Stegostoma tigrinum: one gene and its partner. The protein of the gene in region 1 interacts with the protein of each later gene in a biochemical or structural test. Links are inferred from orthologs where the notes say so. Each region holds a gene or a part of one and is shown on either strand. Other genes may lie near its edges. The genes, in order: dnmt1 and setd7.

Region 1 (10,220 bases):
CTTCTGCCTGAATATGGTTCCTATCCCTCCACTCGTTGCATATTCATGTGCGTATCTAAAGGCCTCATTAACAGCCCTAAAGTATGTGCCTCGATCACCACTCCTGACGGTGCGTGCCAGACTTCTACCACCCTCTGTGTCAAAAACTTGTCCCTCACATCTGATTTGAACTTTCACTCTCTCACCTTAAATGTACGCCCTCTGGTAACAGACATTCCAATTCTGGGAAAAAGATTCCGACCGTCAACCCAATCTATTCATCCTGTCAACAGTTGCTGCTAGATCCAACTTTTCTCAAGCACATCCTCTTATGTTTCAGGTTTCCAGCTTCAGTTATTTGTGTTTATTCCCCAAGAATGTTCTATGTTTCAGCAAGGACTTTTCTAGAATCTAAGGATTCTTGGAAGGCTACTGGATCCACCATCTTTGCTGCCACTTCCTTTAAATCCTTCCAAGAATGCATCCATTATGATCCATCATAACAATATACAAGTTTAAAACTCTCAAACACCCACCCCATTCTTCACTCAAGCCTCTATATCCTTGTGACCTTGTAAAACATTTTGACAATTTTGCAGAGCACAGCAGGATCCTGATCGAATGGGCCAGTGGGCCCAAGGAATGGCCAGTGGAGTTTAATTCAGATAGAGGCAAGGTTGTCGCATTTTAGTGAAACGAACCAGGGTAGGACTTGTGTGCTTAATGGTGAGGGTTCTGGGGAGTGTCGCTGAACAGAGAGACCTTTGCGGGGGGAGCAGGCACATAGTTCCTTGAAAGTGGAGTGGCAGGTAGACAGGGCGGTGAAGAATGTGTAAGGGCATAGAATACCCTGCCTGCAACAGCAGTAGACTCACCAACTTCAAGGGCATTTAAATGGTCACTGGATAAACATATGGGTGATAATGGAATAGTGTAGGTTAGATGGGCTTCACATTGGTTTCACAGGTCGGCGCAACATCGAGGGCCGAAGGTCCTGTACTGAGCTGTAGTGTTCTATGTTCGATGTATGCCTTCAATTCTGGCCTGTATCAATCCACACACCCATGTACAACGACGACGGGGGGGGGGGGGGGGGGGGAGAGACGGGGTCGACGACGACAACGGGGGGGGGGGAGAGAGACGGGGTCGACGACGACGACGGGGGGGGGGGAGAGACGGGGTCGACGACGACGACGGGGGGGGGGAGAGAGACGGGGTCGACGACGACGACGGGGGGGGGGAGAGACGGGGTCGACGACGACGGGGAGGGGGGAGAGACGGGGTCGACGACGATGGGGGGGGGAGACGGGGTCGACGACGACGACGGGGGGGGGGGAGACGGGGTCGACGACGACGACGGGGGGGGGGGGGAGACGGGGTCGACGACGACGACGGGGGGGGGGGGAGACGGGGTCGACGACGACGACGGGGGGGGGGGAGACGGGGTCGACGACGACGACGGGGGGGGGGGGAGACGGGGTCGACGACGACGACGGGGGGGGGGGGGAGACGGGGTCGACGACGACGACGGGGGGGGGGGAGACGGGGTCGACGACGACGACGGGGGGGGGAGACGGGGTCGACGACGACGACGGGGGGGGAGACGGGGTCGACGACGACGACGGGGGGGGGAGACGGGGTCGACGACGACGACGGGGGGGGAGACGGGGTCGACGACGACGACGGGGGGGGAGACGGGGTCGACGACGACGACGGGGGGGGGAGACGGGGTCGACGACGACGACGGGGGGGGAGACGGGGTCGACGACGACGACGGGGGGGGAGACGGGGTCGACGACGACGACGACGGGGGGGGGAGACGGGGTCGACGACGACGACGACGGGGGGGGGGAGACGGGGTCGACGACGACGACGACGGGGGGGGAGACGGGGTCGACGACGACGGCGGGGGGGGAGATGGGGTCGACGTCGACGGGGGGGGGGAGAGACGGGGTCGACGACGACGGGGGGGGGGGGGAGAGACGGGGTCGACGACGACGGGGGGGGGGGAGACGGGGTCGACGACGACGGGGGGGGGGAGACGGGGTCGACGACGACGGGGGGGGGGAGACGGGGTCGACGACGACGGGGGGGGGGAGACGGGGTCGACGACGACGGGGGGGGGGAGACGGGGTCGACGACGACGGGGGGGGGGGGAGACGGGGTCGACGACGACGGGGGGGGAGACGGGGTCGACGACGACGGGGGGGGGAGACGGGGTCGACGACGACGGGGGGGGGGAGACGGGGTCGACGACGACGGGGGGGGGGGGAGACGGGGTCGACGACGACGGGGGGGGGAGACGGGGTCGACGACGACGGGGGGGGGGAGACGGGGTCGACGACGACGGGGGGGGGAGACGGGGTCGACGACGACGGGGGGGGGGAGAGACGGGGTCGACGACGACGGGGGGGGGAGAAGACGGGGTCGACGACGACGGGGGGGGAGAAGACGGGGTCGACGACGACGGGGGGGGAGAAGACGGGGTCGACGACGACGGGGGGGGAGAAGACGGGGTCGACGACGACGGGGGGGGAGAAGACGGGGTCGACGACGACGGGGGGGGAGAAGACGGGGTCGACGACGACGGGGGGGGAGAAGACGGGGTCGACGACGACGGGGGGGGAGAAGACGGGGTCGACGACGACGGGGGGGGAGAAGACGGGGTCGACGACGACGGGGGGGGAGAAGACGGGGTCGACGACGACGGGGGGGGAGAAGACGGGGTCGACGACGACGGGGGGGGAGAAGACGGGGTCGACGACGACGGGGGGGGAGAAGACGGGGTCGACGACGACGGGGGGGGAGAAGACGGGGTCGACGACGACGGGGGGGGAGAAGACGGGGTCGACGACGACGGGGGGGGAGAAGAAGACGGGGTCGACGACGACGACGGGGGAGAAGACGGGGTCGACGACGATGGGGGGGGGAAGACGGGGTGGTCGACGACGACGAGGGGGGAAGACGGGGTCAACGACGACGGGGGGGGAGAAGACGGGGTCGACGACGACGGTGGGGGAAGAGGGCCTTGGCAACGGGGTGAAAGAGGGGCTTGGCGACGGGGGGGGGGAAGAGGGGCTTGGCGACGGGGGGGGGAAGAGGGGCTTGGCGATGGGGGGGGAAGAGGGGCTTGGCGATGGGGGGGGAAGAGGGGCTTGGCGATGGGGGGGGGAAGAGGGGCTTGGCGATGGGGGGGGGGAAGAGGGGCTTGGCGATGGGGGGGAAGAGGGGCTTGGCGATGGGGGGGAAGAGGGGCTTGGCGATGGGGGGGGAAGAGGGGCTTGGCGATGTTGGGGGGGAAGAGGGGCTTGGCGATGGGGGGGGGAAGAGGGGCTTGGCGATGGGGGGGAAAGAGGGGCTTGGCGATGGGGGGGAAAGAGGGGCTTGGCGATGGGGGGGAAAGAGGGGCTTGGCGATGGGGGGGAAAGAGGGGCTTGGCGATGGGGGGGAAAGAGGCGCTTGGCGATGGGGGGGGAAAGAGGCGCTTGGCGATGGGGGGGGAAAGAGGCGCTTGGCGATGGGGGGGGAAAGAGGCGCTTGGCGATGGGGGGGGAAGAGGCGCTTGGCGATGGGGGGAAGAGGCGCTTGGCGATGGGGGGGAAGAGGCGCTTGGCGATGGGGGGGGAAGAGGCGCTTGGCGATGGGGGGGGAAGAGGCGCTTGGCGATGGGGGGGGGAAAGAGGCGCTTGGCGATGGGGGGGAAGAGGCGCTTGGCGATGGGGGGGAAGAGGCGCTTGGCGATGGGGGGGAAGAGGCGCTTGGCGATGGGGGGGGGAAAGAGGCGCTTGGCGACAGGGGAGAAGACAATGGGGTGGTTGATGGTGGAGAGGAGGGGGGAATCAATGGTGGAGGGGAGGGTAATGATATGGGGAGGGGGTCAACGGTGGAGAGAAGGGGTAATGATGGGGGGTGTTGATGGTGGAGAGAAGGGGTAACGATGGGGGGAGTGAGGGTTGGTGGAGAGGAGGGATAATGATGGGGGGGAGTGGGGGTTGACGGAGAGGAGGGATAATGATGGGGGGAGTAGGGGTTGATGGAGAGGAGGAGTATTGATGGGGAGAGTGGGGGTTGATGGAGAGGAGGGATAATGATGGGGGGAGTAGGGGTTGATGGAGAGGAGGAGTATTGATGAGGAGAGTGGGGGTTGACGGAGAGGAGGGATAATGATGGGGGGAGTGAGGGTTGATGGAGAGGAGGGATAATGATGGGGGGAGTAGGGGTTGACGGAGAGGAGGGATAATGATGGGGGGAGTAGGGGTTGATGGAGAGGAGGAGTATTGATGGGGAGAGTGGGGGTTGATGGAGAGGAGGGATAATGATAGGGTGGGTATAATTTCGGGGGGTGGAGTGATAAATGCAGTTTGGCGCCAAATCCTCGGATCGCCATCACCGAGTCTCCGGAGATTGGGATTCATCACCAGCTTCCCCCGCCACATGCACACCATATTGACGGGAGGAGGGGGGGGAGGCATTGACGGTAACCGGGCCGCGGCTGTGAATCCCCGCCGATGGAGAGAGGCCGCAGGCCCCAGCGCCGCCTGAGGGGAATTCATTCACTCACCGCTTCCTGATGTCCTCGGGCAGGGAGGATGCGGCGGCACTACCGCTGATCCGGGCTGGCATCGCGGGCGGAGCGGGCCGACTGGGGGGAAAGGGGGCGGCGGCGGTTCCCGGCTCCGGGCGGAAAACAGCGGCGCGAGCGAGCGGGCGGGCGGGCGGGCGGGGATTTTCGCGCGCGATCCGGACTGGTCCAGTCGCTGATAAGCGAGAGGGAGGGATAAATAATAAATTATCACATTAAACAATCAGATCATAGCCAGATTATCAATATTCCATCGTTGTTTGTCTACAGAGAATTTGACTAATTCAGCTGGTTGCTTTCTATCCTTCAACAATGAAGGAATTAGGACGTTTCTTTCTAAAACACATGATGGTTCCCCCCCACCCCTTATCCTCCATGTTATGGTTGCTGCTCACGGTCCGGGTCATTCATCATTGGAATCCCAGAAAAAGAAGAACGGGGGCTTGTTGTATTTTTAATGAATGTTTTTATCCCATCCACCGCTTATCCTGTGAGAAAAATTTTTCATCACTTGTGATTTATTAACAGTAAAATATCTGTCTGATTGTGGTTAACGCAGTGATCTTTATAAAAGAGGCAACTTGCGGCAGATTGTGTTTCTAGATGCAGTCCCCCCCTCTTTCCGAAATGGATTCCTCCCAGGCTGTAACCTCTGAAAAGATGAATGGGAAGCAAGGGAGGGAGGGGGAGTGGCTTCCCCTTGCTGTAGTAACTAGACTCAAATACTCCACATTGTGTAACACACTACCATATTCTATAAACAGCACTACCACACATCGTCTCAGCAAGAGTAAAGCAATATCGGTTCGACTGTTATTTTAAGTTTGAAACAATCATTTCAGTTACTCCTCCAGCAGTGATTGAATAAGCCCACACGTTTTAATGCTCATTGATGTGCCCCCCCAATACATTGTAACTTGCTTCTTGTAATTTGCAGCAAATGTCACACTTCCCTTTACCTCGGTTTCTTCTCCAAATGCATTTTCGTTGCATTGTCAGCTTTTATTTTTGTTTGCTTCCTGTCCTGTTGTGATCTGTAGAGATCGTTTGCTGATGGCCATTCACAAAGCCTCTAATTTGACAGTGGCCGTGGAGTAAAGTCTTTGAACACAGAACACGTACGTTTCATGAAAGTGTCAAGAGGTTCGGCGCATTTTTTTTTATTCCAGAGTTGTTAGAAAGTGGTATGCATAAACCGAAATGGTGGTGGGAAGCAGAATCCGTGATAACTTTTAGAAGGAAGTGGATGAATGTTTTAAAAACAAAATGCGTTAGAAAAGGGCAGAGGTGACAGCTATGAATCAGCGTGAACCTTCGAAAGCGTAAACAGAAAATGCTGGAGGAACTCGGCAGATCTGGCAGCATCTGTGGAAAGAGAAATAGAGTTAACGGTTCGCGTCCTGAGTAAATTCTTCAGGACTGAAAGGCGTTGGAAAATGTTTCTGTTACACCTTTGAAAGAACAGAGGAGGAGTGAGAAGAACAGACTTTTGTGGAGGCCCACTACAAAAAGGGTTGTTAATTGTAGTGAAAGAAATAGGATGTTAAAATGGGTGTAAATTAGTGGGGGTGGGAACGGTTGAAAAGTGGGACCCGTCCCCTGAGAGCGAAGTAGACAAGACAGGGGTGCTGGGGGTTGTAAGGCAAATTGAGAACGAACATTTGAAGTTGTGGAAATCAATATTAAGTCCTAGAGGCTGTAAAGCATCCGAGCTTAAAATGATGTTTTTTTTCCAGAGCTTACTTTGACCCACTGGACTGAATCTATAATTTTTACAACTTTCACTTTTACAATTTGTATTTCAAAACTGAGGCAGGTGGGTATTTGTGACTTCTGTGAAGGTGTTCCTTAAAAAAAAACAAAGCCAGACTCCTTCCAGAGCACTGACTTAAATCCAACATTTGATTAAAGATCGGATAGACCCCCAATGGTGTTAGGAACTGCCAATGCTGGAGAATCTGAGATAACAAGGTGTAGTGCTGGATGAACACAGCAGGCAAAGATGGTGCTTGGCCAGCTGTGTTCATCCAGCTCTACACCTTAACGTTTATATTGTTGAGTTTATATCAGGTAAAATAAAAGGTCGTTAGTTTTGTTTACAGTTCAGTCCAGAGAACACTAGTGTTGAGTTTAGAAGTAAGGTTTGTTTCCCTCCTCAGCTGAGGATTCAGAGAATAAGTCACCACAGCAGAAGGGTTAAAGTTTGTGAAACTTCTAAACTGGTAGAGTTTGGTTAGCTGCTGATTGGAACTAAGAGGTTTAGACTCTTTGATTTGCGAAAAGTTCACATCTGCAGATTTGGAAAGGAATAACTGAATTAGCTTCACAGTCAATAGCAATTAAACTATCAGGAGTCTGTGCAGTAGAACCCTAATGAGATCGGGCTGTAAATTCTGTGAACTTGTCTCTGTAACCAAATAATATTGGGAAACTAGTTGAAATTTTGGCCAAACATGCGCAGAAAATAGTCAGAAAGGCTAATCGAATGGCAGCCTTTATAACTAGACAACTAGAATACAAGGGATGTGAATTTCTGCTACAGCTAAATACTAGCCAGACCACACTGTGACCAAAACAGGGCATCACACCTTGGATGAATATATTTGTTTCGGACAGAATGCAGCATAGGTTTGTCAGAATGATATATGGACTCCCAGGAGTTAAATTTAAAGGAGAAATTATACAAACCAGAGTAATATTCCTTTGATTTTAATGTTAAGTGTAATTGTTAAAATTAATTTTCAACAATATGGAGTTAGGGCATAGAGCAGTCACAAACACATCAAATGGAACATTCTTGAAGAAGTAAATAGCATCCTCCTGTCTTTGCATTTGCTGATTTAAGTCTGTACACAGTGCACAAGGTGGCAATGTTTTCCATAAATTTAAAATGCTCCAGTGACCTACAAACTCAATGCTGACAGCTGGAATCAGCAGTTAGTACTAGCCCAGCTACACTGACAGTAATATTGATTTGTATTATTTACAGGAAATTTCAGTTTAACTCCAAGAGCACAAGATCAACAGTGTAGATAAATCTCACAACACACCCTACATATATCAGTGTGAGCTTCCTTATCTATTACTAGTACAATGGCATCAGCAAGTTGTTCTATCTTTGGAACAGGTCATGATTCTCTGCTTTTCCAATTTTCACATCCTTGTACTTACTAGCAGCAGGTCACAGTAAACGTGTGAGAAATCTAGTTAATTCTCTAATTAGTCTCACTGACTGCAAGATATGCAGTCAGGTCTGATTTTCTGTTTTCATCTCTCATTGCTCTTCTAATTCTTATGAACGTGCATTAAACTACACGGCATACATCATTACAATAACACACAGTATTCTAACTTTAGTCAGTGCAGAATGCCTTAAATATGGATTCAATACCAACAGGCATAGTCTATAAATTTATTAATTTTAGCGATTTCATCTGATTCTAACAGCTGCCAAACTTAGGCAGACTTGAGAATCATTTCTAGCAATAAGCTAAAGTGTCAGCCTTGTTTGAATTAAATTTGAAAGAAAACTGAACTTAAAAGGTTTAAACTTAATTTTCTGCTAGTTAGCCCAGTTCATACAAAACAGAAAGAGGTCTGAACTGAATGTCAGAGTTTCTCTCTAGTATTTAGATGGATTGGTTTGGCTCAATTATGAATTTTTCTAAGATTCATTTCCAAGTGGACCCTACCAAAATTTTCTTCTGTCCTGAGGCTATTTCGTTCACCTCAGATTGCAGGAGCCGTATAAGTGGTTATTCTTCATGACATCCAAAATAGTAATTAATCAATAAGTCTACATGATTGCAAAGAGCAATACAGCTGTTGTTCCTTGTCCTACTACATGCAAGTGTGCCTCTTCTAATAAGGACTGATCAGAAATGAAAAAATCTGATCATTGATCCTCTACATTGCCAAAGAGTACCAACTCCAGCCCTCCAAATACAAGCCTGATTGAATCCACAATCTTGACCTACGGTCAAGTATCTAGTAACAGAGGTGACACTTCAGTTTTTATGGCAAAAATATACATATGTACATAGAACATAGAACAGTACAGCACAGAACAGGCCCTTCAGCCCACAATGTTGTGCCGACCATTGATCCTCATGTATGCACCCTCAAATTTCTGTGACCATATACATGTCCAGCAGTCTCTTAAATGACCCCAATGACCTTGCTTCCACAACTGCTGCTGGCAACGCATTCCATGCTCTCACAACTCTCTGCGTAAAGAACCTGCCTCTGACATCCCCTCGATACTTTCCACCAACCAGCTTAAAACTATGACCCCTCGTGCTAGCCATTTCTGCCCTGGGAAATAGTCTCTGGCTATCAACTCTATCTCTGCCTCTCATTATCTTGTATACCTCAATTAGGTCCCCTCTCCTCCTCCTTTTCTCCAATGAAAAGAGACCGAGCTCAGTCAACCTCTCTTCATAAGATAAGCCCTCCAGTCCAGGCAGCATCCTGGTAAACCTCCTCTGAACCCTCTCCAAAGCATCCACATCTTTCCTATAATAGGGCGCCCAGAACTGGACGCAGTATTCCAAGTGCGGTCTAACCAAAGTTTTATAGAGCTGCAACAAGATCTCACGACTCTTAAACTCAATCCCCCTGTTAATGAAAGCCAAAACACCATATGCTTTCTTAACAACCCTGTCCACTTGGGTGGCCATTTTAAGGGATCTATGTATCTGCACACCAAGATCCCTCTGTTCCTCCACGCTGCCAAGAATCTTATCCTTAATCCTGTACTCAGCTTTCAAATTCGACCTTCCAAAATGCATCACCTCGCATTTATCCAGGTTGAACTCCATCTGCCACCTCTCAGCCCATCTCTGCATCCTGTCAATGTCCCATGTATAGTTATTTTGTATCATTCAAACAGGGCTGCCTGCACTATTAAGTCTGGTCGTGGCTGTTCTTTGGTGAACTCCTGGAATACTAATAATTGGCCTCAGCAATAACTGCATTTCAAACCTTTCCCTGTGATTCTGTGGAATTTCCTGCCCAGTGAAGCAGTTGAGGCTATCTTGGTGAATGTTTTTAGGGCAATGATAGACAGATTTTCGCACAGTAAAGGAATTAGAGTTATGGTGAGCAGGCTTGACAGGCCAGACAGCATACTGCTGCTCCTATTTCTTATGTTGCTTGGGAGCAAAGCTGATGCAGAACTTTAAAGATCCTGAATTTCTTTTCATATGTCAATTTAATTTGAATTGTGAGGCAGCCAAGAGAGCACCTTATTTTCTTGACTGCTTCCCTTTTCCGCAAACACATTAGGTCACAAAGCATTGTTTTTAGTTAACTTTCATTAAATGCCTTTCACATAGATGCAATGTCAACTCCCTTTGTAGCTCATTGTGTATTAATAAAAGGACTGTGGCTTCAGTTAGTCTGAAAACAATACAACAAAAAGTATAATTTTTCAATGCATTTAATGAGTCTTCAGCAGAACTGCAAATACAACCACAATGTCAAGACATTCAAAAAAAAAATCAGCATTGCCTGCATTTACTGCCGTAAATTTAAGACATTTTTGTAGGAAACACAAAATTTATTTATAAAATGGTTGTTATGTTTGTAACAGTTTTTTTTGGCAATTTACGTACCCGAGGTATCAGTGGAAAAAGTTACTGCAGGGTTGAAAGCAGCT
Region 2 (9,497 bases), on another chromosome or scaffold:
AGGGAGACTAGGACCGTGGGTACAGCCTTAGAATTAGAGAGAGGGTAAACTTAGAATGGAAATGAGGAGACATTTCTTTAGCCAGAGTTGCTGGCCTGTGGAATTCATTGCCACAGAGCGCAGTGGAGGCCGGGATGTTAAATGTCTTCAAGGCAGAGATTGATAACTTCTTGATCTCGCAAGGAATTAAGGGCTACGGGGAGAGTGCGGGTAAGTGGAGTTGAAATGCCCATCAGCCATGATTAAATGGCCGAGTGGACTCAATGGGATAAATGGCCTTGTGTCTTATGGTCTAAATTCCTGAAAAAACAACACAGAAATTGAGAGATAACTCAGCAGGCCTGGCAGCCCCATCTGTCGTGAAAAAGCAAAAAGTTTAATGTTTCAGGACCAGTGACCCTCCTTCTGAAACGTTAACTCTGCTTTCTCTCCACAGATGCCATAAGACCTGCTGGGTTATCCCAGCAATTTCTGGTTTTCTTTCTGATTTCCAGCATCTTTGATTTTGTTTTTAAGTTTTAGTTTGAAATTCCTTACTGCTCAAGTTGTAAAGACCCAAGAATAACATAATAATACACAAATATATTTTAAAAGTATCAATACCAAGAGATTGATCCAAGATCACACCACAAGTACTTCCCTACATAATAATGCTGCAAGTTAACTAGTACATTTGCTTCTGTCTTACATCTGAAGAAAGAAATGAAATATCTGGAGGAAAAAAAAAAGTTATCACGCCACTCTCTCTAACTTGGAATGGAATATTCTAGAAATAGTGCATCTGAAAACCCATGTCCCCAGTTATCAGACTGATTGCAGATATATGCTTCTTTGCCACAAACATGACAACACTTGTTCCCAAATTCCAATTCCAACTGGAACACTAGGAGCTATTAATAACACAAGGGAAACTGATGCAGTTGAATCAGTTGGAAACCCTACACCATACATTATTTTGCTTCCAACCGACACTGAACAGTAAGATGTGAAAAGACTGACAACTATGACTGCACTAGATTAATTACTTCAATGGTCCTGTCCCAAAAGCAGGTGGCAAGTAGTTCCCTTTATTCTTCCTCCTTTCTTTAAAAAGGAGGAAGGGAAGAAGGTTTGTTTGCTCATTTTCTTTTTAAATGTGAGTAAATAAAATTAGAATGAACTGCCCATCTTTCCTTGTAATTACTTCATTTTGCCTGTCTCACTTTCTCAACTACATGTCTATTTCTCCTCATTTATCTGTTAGAATTTAGAATCAGTTTCACAGGTGTAATTGCTTAGTTCTGACATTGTTTAAAATATAACATCTCAGATGAGATAATTGACATTAGTGTTGAGATGTATTTTCAGCATTTTATGGTTATTGTGTTTTTTGGAACACAGAACCAAGAGTACAATTAGCATAATATATATTTTCCCTTGTCTCATAACCATACCTCATACTCATTTGATTACCTCAATAAAACTTTGGAAATGTGTCCTTTTTTCCAATGATCAAAGGAAGCTTGCAGCTAAAGAAAAATACTCAAATCAATGCAGCTAGGAAATCAGACACTTCAAATGCTTAAACCGCATCACGAAATAGAGTGTGGGTGGGGAGGGGATAGGTCAGTCCTCTGTCCGTCCTCCCCACCTCTCCACCTATGCTGACCTCTACAGGTTCCTTCCCCGCCCCTTTAACTTGTCTGTCTCCTCTCCATCTATCTTCTCCTCTGTCCATCTTCGGTCCGCCTCTCCCTATTTATTTTGGATCCTTCTCCCCATCCCCCCTTTCTGATGAAGGGTCTAGGCCCGAAATGTCAGCTTTTGTGCTCCTGAGATGCTGCTTGGCCTGCTGTGTTCATCCAGCTCCACACTTTGTTATCTTGGATTCTCCAGCATCTGCCGTTCCCATTATCCACGAAATATACCGACCCCAGTTACAAGTTGTGCTTTCAGAAAAGGCTAAAGTTATAAAAGCTTAAATGAAATATTTAATAATGTTACTAGGGTCTGGTATTCTTTGATTTTCTTTCAAAAAAAAAACCTTGGAAACATAGAATGTTCGGTTCTTGACAAAAAGTTTTCAGATGGAGAAACCATTTGGAATGACCTGCAAGCAAGTGAACACCAGAATACACATCCCCTAGTTATATCTCATTTTACACAATGAATAGGAACTATTTTTATATGGAAAAATTACAAATCAAAAATCATAGCAAAATGTGATGTTTTCATCAAATTAATAAATATATATTGACAAAGATATTAAATGTGATTTCAAAAGACCACAATTTCTTAATGAATCTTTGAACTGAATTTATTTGTTGAAATAAAATTTTGTATGCTTAAATTTTAGTTACTTAGGTCATTATTTTTCTCCCTTACACAGCAACTGTAAAGATTTACTTTCCTCCCCGTATAACAGTTCCATAAATAGTTACTGAGCTGGCATCATTCTATAATTCTTGTCCTTGCTGTTCTACCGAGACAAAATGCATTGTTTGTAATGTACCCACAATTATTTCACAATTCAGCTGCATACGCATTTATGTATGAGGATAGCGTCTTCATGATACAAACAAACTTTCTGCTGGCAAGGCAGTACTGTCATCACTGACAAAAACATCCATCCCTCTCCATTTCCTCCCGACTCTTAAAAAGATAATTATGAAAACCTAAAGAGAATAAAGGGAAAACAGGAAATCTCCCTGCACAACTGAAAATTTGTAATTTAGTTGTTACAAACTACACTCATGATGCCATCAAAAAGTGAGCAAAGCATAATATACATCATTTTCAATCTGGGTAATGTTGCAAAGGAGCAGTTTGTAGAAACAAACTGCAACAAGCACACACTGCCAAATATACTTTATAAAATCAATAGAAATGAAACGTCCATATGAAATTTGAATCACCAGCATTGATAGTGTCAATAAACTTCTGATTTATAGACTAAGTGCAACAGCAAATGGTTGAACAAGGCCACCCTTTTTCCCAGTAAAAGGTACCATTATACACATTCCAAATTACAGTCAAAGAAATCCTAACTCAGATCAAGAGAAAAACCCCTCTGACAGAGCAAATATATCTAAACAAGTAATAAAGCTTCAAATTGATGGACTTTGATTTTTTTTACCTGCCATCAAAAAAATAGAACTTCCCGTGACCATTCTTCTCACCATGCACAAAATGCCCTTCAAATCTGTCACCTGAAGAATAGGTAACTTTACAGAACCCATGTGGCTCGTTATCTTCATCCAGGGGACCTACAATAGGAACACTTTAAACTTACTGAACCTCAGCACACACACACGTAAAATGCATCATCTTAAATCCAAAAGAAAAAAACAATGCAAATTACTGCAATATATGACACACATCTGCTGACTAAGTATCAAGCAGGAATTCTGTTCACAAAGTCAAAAGGGAGGCTTCGACTTAAGGACTGTGCGAAACCCAGTTTGGAGGTGACTTTTTTCCCCCCAACCCCCGACTGGGTTATTTATTATGAGTGAACACAACAGCTGAAATGTCGCGATGGGGGAGAAACGGCTTTTTCATTTCCTCACTGTTGCGTGTGGCATTAACAGTGGGGTGGGGTGGGGAGGGGGAAAGCTTTATTTCTCAATTCTTAAATAATCATTGTTAGACAGAAAATAAAATCGTACAGCAAATTGTTACCATCGACAATGACCTCCCCTCGAAGACTTCACCGTGAAGTAAAGATTACATTGTTTATAAAAGGTACGGGGGGGGGGGGGGGGGGAGATGGAGAAAGGGAGAGAAAAGTTTCCAGGCTCTGTTTCAGATTGTAAATATGCAACAAATTATAAACACACAGCCTCAGTCTACCACCACAGTAGTGGTGCTTTCATTGTTCTCCTCTGAGGGACTGCCTGCATCACAATAATCCACGTTACATAACCGCTAAAGTAGCACATTGTCTTTTAAAACGATTCACTTTTTGTTTATAAAAAAAATCCATTCCATTCCCCGGTAAGTCAGAATAGAATTTCGACGTACTTCAACAAAGAAAACTAACACTGGGCTTTATCTTGACGAATTAAATTTGCATTTCGTCAACAAAGCCTCAGAGCAAAAAAACTTTTACAAAACATTTTTCTTAAAAAGGTACATTCACTGACTGATTTTTCGACGCATGGGTTAAACGCACTAAATAAAAGCCACCTCTCTCGAGACGGGCGGTTTTGGGCCGAATATATCCGCGCTGCACTGTCCCTCCCTGCTGCCCGGCTTGTTTTAGGGAGATGAGGCATCAAACCCTTTCTCTGGAACACCCCCCTCACCCCCTCACCCCCCTCACCTTCTACCGTCTCCTCCACATTATCGTCGTCACTGTCCATAACACCGCTGCTCTCAGTGGCTGAGGCTTCTTTTCGCACTAGGGAGACCAGCTCTAACTCTGTCTTTGCTTAGACTGCAAGTTACCGCTGCGTAAACCGGAATCAGACACTGACATCATCCCTCTTCCCCCAGCTGCTGCATTGATCGACAGTCTCAGCACTACCTCACCTCCCAAAACCCTTCCCACCATTAGCGGTCGCTCCATTCACTGCCAGACGCACTCTCTCGCACCCCTCCCACCCAAAGGCTTTGATTGACAATTTCAATCTCTCTCCCTCCTCGCAGAATATAATCACACGCTGTAATAAAACGAAGAACCATTTCCATCATCTCACCACGCACATTTCTACCCCCTGACACCAACTCGTGCATATTGGAGAGACACAGGCATCAAGAGGCATAGACCATCAAATGTCAGGAAAGATGTACTGGCGTTGGAGGCAGCCCAGTGAAGGTTAAGACCAGGAGAATTACGAACAGGAGTAGGCCGGCTGAGCAATTCAACAGTCTCACATTCCTCATGACCCATTTCCTGCCCTTTCCCCATAACCCTAGATTCCCCATCTGATCCATCTATCTCAACCTTAACCAAATACAAGGACTCTGCCCCCACAGCTGTCTGTGGCAAGGAATTACAAAGATGCTCAACCCTCTGATTGAAGAAAATAATCCACCTAGATACTTAAAGTCAAACAGCACAGAAACAGAACCTGCGGGCCAACTCGTCCATACGGACCAGGTTATCTAAACTGAACTAGTCCCACTGGCCTGCATTTGGCCATAACACTATCCAAATACTCCACCGATTCTATTTAAATGTTGTAATGTACTCACCTCTACCACTTTCTCTGATAACTTGTTCCATATATACCCCCTGTTCCCTTTTAAATCTTTCCCCTCTCCTTTAAATCTATGTCCTCTGGTTTTGGACTCCCCAACCCTGGAAAAGACGTTGACTAATCATTTTATCTATGCCCCTCACGATTTTATGAACTTCTACAAGGTCAGCCCTCAGCCTCCTATGCTCCAGGGCAAAAACTCACAGCTTAACCAGCCTCTCCTCATATCTCAAACTCTCAACTCTTGGTTGTAAATCTTTTTTCCACCCTTTCTAGTTTAATAACATCCTTCGTACAGCAGGGTAACCAGAATTGTACTCAGTACCCCAAATGTGGCCTTACCAGTGTCTTGTATATCCGTAACATGAAATTACAACTCCTGCATTCAATGCTTCAATTGATGAAGGCAAGTTTGCCAAGCACCTTCTTTACCATCCTGTCTACCTGCAATGACATTTTGAAGGAACTATGTACCTGCATCCCTAGGTCTCCTTGTTCAACAACACTCCTGCGATTGCTATCATTAACTGTACAAGTCCTGCCTTGGTTTGTCTTACTAAAACTCAATACCTCACATTTATCTGAATTAAACTTCATTCCTTGGCCCTCTGGACAAGTTGATCAAATCTTTCTGTACTGTTAGATAACCTTCCTCACTGTCCACTATACCACCAATTCTGGTGTCATCCATAAACCTATTAAACATGCCTCCTGTATTCTCATCCAAATCATTAAATAGAACTGACGAACAATAGTGGTCCCAGCATTGATCTTACCATGCTCTGTCTTCTATGTTAAGCCAATTTTGTATCCAATTAGCTAGCTCTCCCTGGATGCCATGCGATCTAACTTTACTAACTAGTCTACCATGAGGAACTTTGTCAAAGGTTTCACTAAAGTCCATGTAGGCCACATCTACCACTCTGCCTTCTTCTACCTTTTTGATCACCTCTTCAAAAAACTCAATCAAGTTTGTGAGACATGATTTCCCACTCACAAAGCCATGCTGATTATCAGTCCTTGCCTTTCCAAATACACGCAGGTCCTGTTTCTCAGAATGCCCTCCAAGAACCATTGATGTCAAATCCACCATTGAGGTCAAGCTCACTGTCTGTACCTCCCTGGCCTTTCTTTGCAGCCTTTCTTAAACAATAGCACAACATTAGCCGCCCTCCAGTCTTCTGGCACTTCACCCATGGCTGTTGATAATACAAATATCGCCACTAAGGATTCAACAATTTCTTCCCTAGTTTCCCACAATGTACTGGGATACATTTGATCAGGTCCCAGGGATTTATGTGCCTTTGTATGTTTTATTAAACGGTTGCGTGTTTATTCTGAGATGATGCCCTTCGGTCTAGACTTTCCCATGAGCTAATACATCCTCTCAACATCTATCCTGTCAAGTTCCTTGACAATCCCACATGTTTCAATGAAATCACCTCTCATTCTTCTAAGTTCTGATCAGTCCCAGTGTGCTTAGCCTTCGCTCAGAACAATCAGCATCTCTTATTCTTATTCTCCAAACCCTTGAATTAAGACCAACATTCCATTAACCTTCTTGATTTTCTGCTGCACCTGTTATTAACTTGCAGTGTTTTGTGCAGCAATACCCACAAGTCCCTTTGTGTTGTAGCTTTCTGCAGTTTTTCTCTATTTAAATAATACCCTGTTCTTTTATTCTCCTATCCTAAATGAACAACTTCACATTTTCCCATATTATACTCCACTTATCAATGTTTTGCCCACTTAACCTATCAACATCTGTGAATTGTTTGTACCCCTCATGCAATTTGTTTTCTCCCCGATTTTAATTCAGGTGCATATTGGTTACAACATATTCACCTTCTTCCTGAGTTATTAATATACATTCACTAAGTTGATACCAGGAATGGATTGACTAAGAGGAAAAGCTAAGTAGGCTGGGCCTGTACTCATTTGCGTTAAGAAGAATGAGAGACAACTTTATTGAAAGGGTAGATGCAGACAGGGTGTTTCCACTTTGTGGAAGAGTTTAGGACCAGAGGGCACCCATTTAAGATAATGACGAGGAGAATTTTTTTTTCTCCCAGACAGTGGCGAACCTGTGGAATTGGTTCACAAAAGATTTACAAGGGTGTTGCCACGTTTGGAGAGTTTGAGCTACAAGGAGAGGCTGAATAACCTGGGGCTATTTTCCCCTGAACATCAGAGGCTAAGGGGTAACTTTATAGAGGTTTATAAAATATGAGAGTGCAGTGAACAGCCAATGTCTTTTTTCCCAGGGTTTGGGAGCCGAAAACTGGAGGACATAGGTTTAAGGTGAGAGGGGAAAGATTTAAAAGGGGCCACATAGAAAGTGATGAGTGTATGGTACGAGCTTCCAGAGGAAGTGGTGGAGGGCTGGTACAATTACAACATTTAAAAGGTATCTGGATGGGTCCATGACTAGAAAGGATTTAAGAGGGTTATTGGCCAAATGCTGGAAAATGGAACTAGATTAATTTAGGATGTACGAGTTGGACTGAAGGGTTTGCTTTTGTGTTGTACAACTCTTATGACTCTATAATTCTTTACTACAGAAACTATTGAGGCTGGATCAAAATCAGGTAACACTGTAGACAGTATATATGTGTGTGTGTGTGTGTGTGTGTGTGTGTGTGTGTGTGTGTGTGTGTGTGTGTGTGTGTGTGTGTGTGTGTGGATATATATATATATATATATAATATATCACATAAAATTACAAATGGATATTAATAGACTAAATGAGTGGATAAAATTCTAGCAGATGGAGTTCAAGTTAAGAAGTGTGAAGTTAACCATTTTGGACTGACGAAGAATAGATCAGGGTACATTCTAGATGGTATCAAATGAATGTCCAAAGACACTTGGGGGTTCATGTGCATTTATCTTTAAAATTTCAGAAAAAAGTGTAGAACATAATAAAGGAAGTTAATTGAATTATGGCCTTTCTAGTAGACTGGAGTTCATATTTGGAGAAGCGATGCCGCAGTTATATAAAATCCCACTTGAAATACTATGAGTAGGTTTGAGCACCACACCTTAGGAAGAATATATTGGCCTTGGAGGGAGTATAATGTGGTTTACAAGAATCATACCTCAACTTCAGCGTTCAAATAATAAGGAAAGATTACACAAATTAGGCCTATCTGCTCAAGAATTTAGAAGATTAAGGGGTGGTCTGATTGAAGGCTTCAAGATATTGATAGGAAAAGACAGTAGATAAAGATAAACTATTTTCACTGTGGATGATTCTAGAACCATGGGGCATAGTGTAAGAATTAGGGCCAGACCATTCAGGAGGTATGTTAGGAAGTACTTCTATACATGAAGGGGTGGTAGAGGTTTGGAACTCTCCTCCACAAATGGCAGTGGATGATGGATTAGTTGTTAATTTTAAATTTGAGATGGATCAATTTTTCTTAAGTGAAGGTACTAAGGGATATACCTGCCTTTGGTCCATATGGAGTTAAGCCACAGAAGAGCTATGATCTCATTGAATGGTGGAACAGATTTGAAGGGCTGAATGGCCTAGCCCATTCCTATATTCAAGCTGAGATGGAGAGAATTTTAATCAGTTAAAGAAATCAAGAATTCCTTGCAATGTGAGTTGAGGTTTATCAGATCATCCGTGATCTCATGGAAGAGTGAACAATGCCTGTTAAGCTGAAAGGCCTACTTCTGCTCCTACGTCTTATGTTTTTATGGACAACCAACTGCATTTCCAAATACATCCTGCAGTCCATCCATCCCAACATTTCTGGTGTATGTTATATTCCGCCATACTGTGTTTTAGAACTGCTCCCAATGCCGACCTGTCTCATTCCTAATATTGCCAATTACTTTTCAATAAATTACAGACTGTTTACATATGTGGCCTCATGCTGTTAAACTACTAGCACCTTTGAGCTGACACCCACATTTGTCCGCTTTCCATTAAGAACACTGGCTGATTTCTTTTTTATAAATCATAATGGCTTCACAGTCATTGTTAGACTCTTCATTCCAGATTTTCTATTTCATTGAATTCAAACTTCACCATCTGACGTGGTGGGATTTGAACCCAGGTCCCCAGGATATTAGTTGAGTCTCTGGATTAATAGTTTAACAACAATACCACTGGGCCATCACCTCCCCTACTTTGCCCCTCATCAGCCGAAATACAGTATTCAGTTGTTATGCCTCTACTGCTGGCCCAGATAAGGTCTGTTAATTCAAAACATACTGGGGATCCTAGTATCCATATCTCAGCTATTGTTGGCCGTTTAGAAATTGAAACTTTAGAGGTGGTCTCAGAAAGCTTTTTTATAGGGG

Evidence for each region.
Region 2: of the proteins of dnmt1 (region 1) and setd7, one has a biochemical effect on the other in vitro, tested with the Homo sapiens proteins (2 studies listed by BioGRID and IntAct, with this or other methods). The link is inferred for Stegostoma tigrinum from reciprocal best matches to the Homo sapiens genes DNMT1 and SETD7.

The regions. Positions count from the first base shown.
Region 1 is NC_081388.1:22,289,661-22,299,880, reverse strand, and holds the start of dnmt1 (DNA (cytosine-5)-methyltransferase 1), read right to left. Parts: upstream 4,688-10,220; 5' UTR 4,603-4,687; coding exon 4,541-4,602; intron 1-4,540. UniProt on the Homo sapiens protein: Methylates CpG residues. Preferentially methylates hemimethylated DNA. Associates with DNA replication sites in S phase maintaining the methylation pattern in the newly synthesized strand, that is essential for epigenetic inheritance.
Region 2 is NC_081354.1:26,212,946-26,222,442, forward strand, and holds the start of setd7 (histone-lysine N-methyltransferase SETD7), read right to left. Parts: upstream 4,491-9,497; 5' UTR 4,344-4,490; coding exon 4,304-4,343; intron 3,246-4,303; coding exon 3,116-3,245; intron 1-3,115. UniProt on the Homo sapiens protein: Histone methyltransferase that specifically monomethylates 'Lys-4' of histone H3. H3 'Lys-4' methylation represents a specific tag for epigenetic transcriptional activation.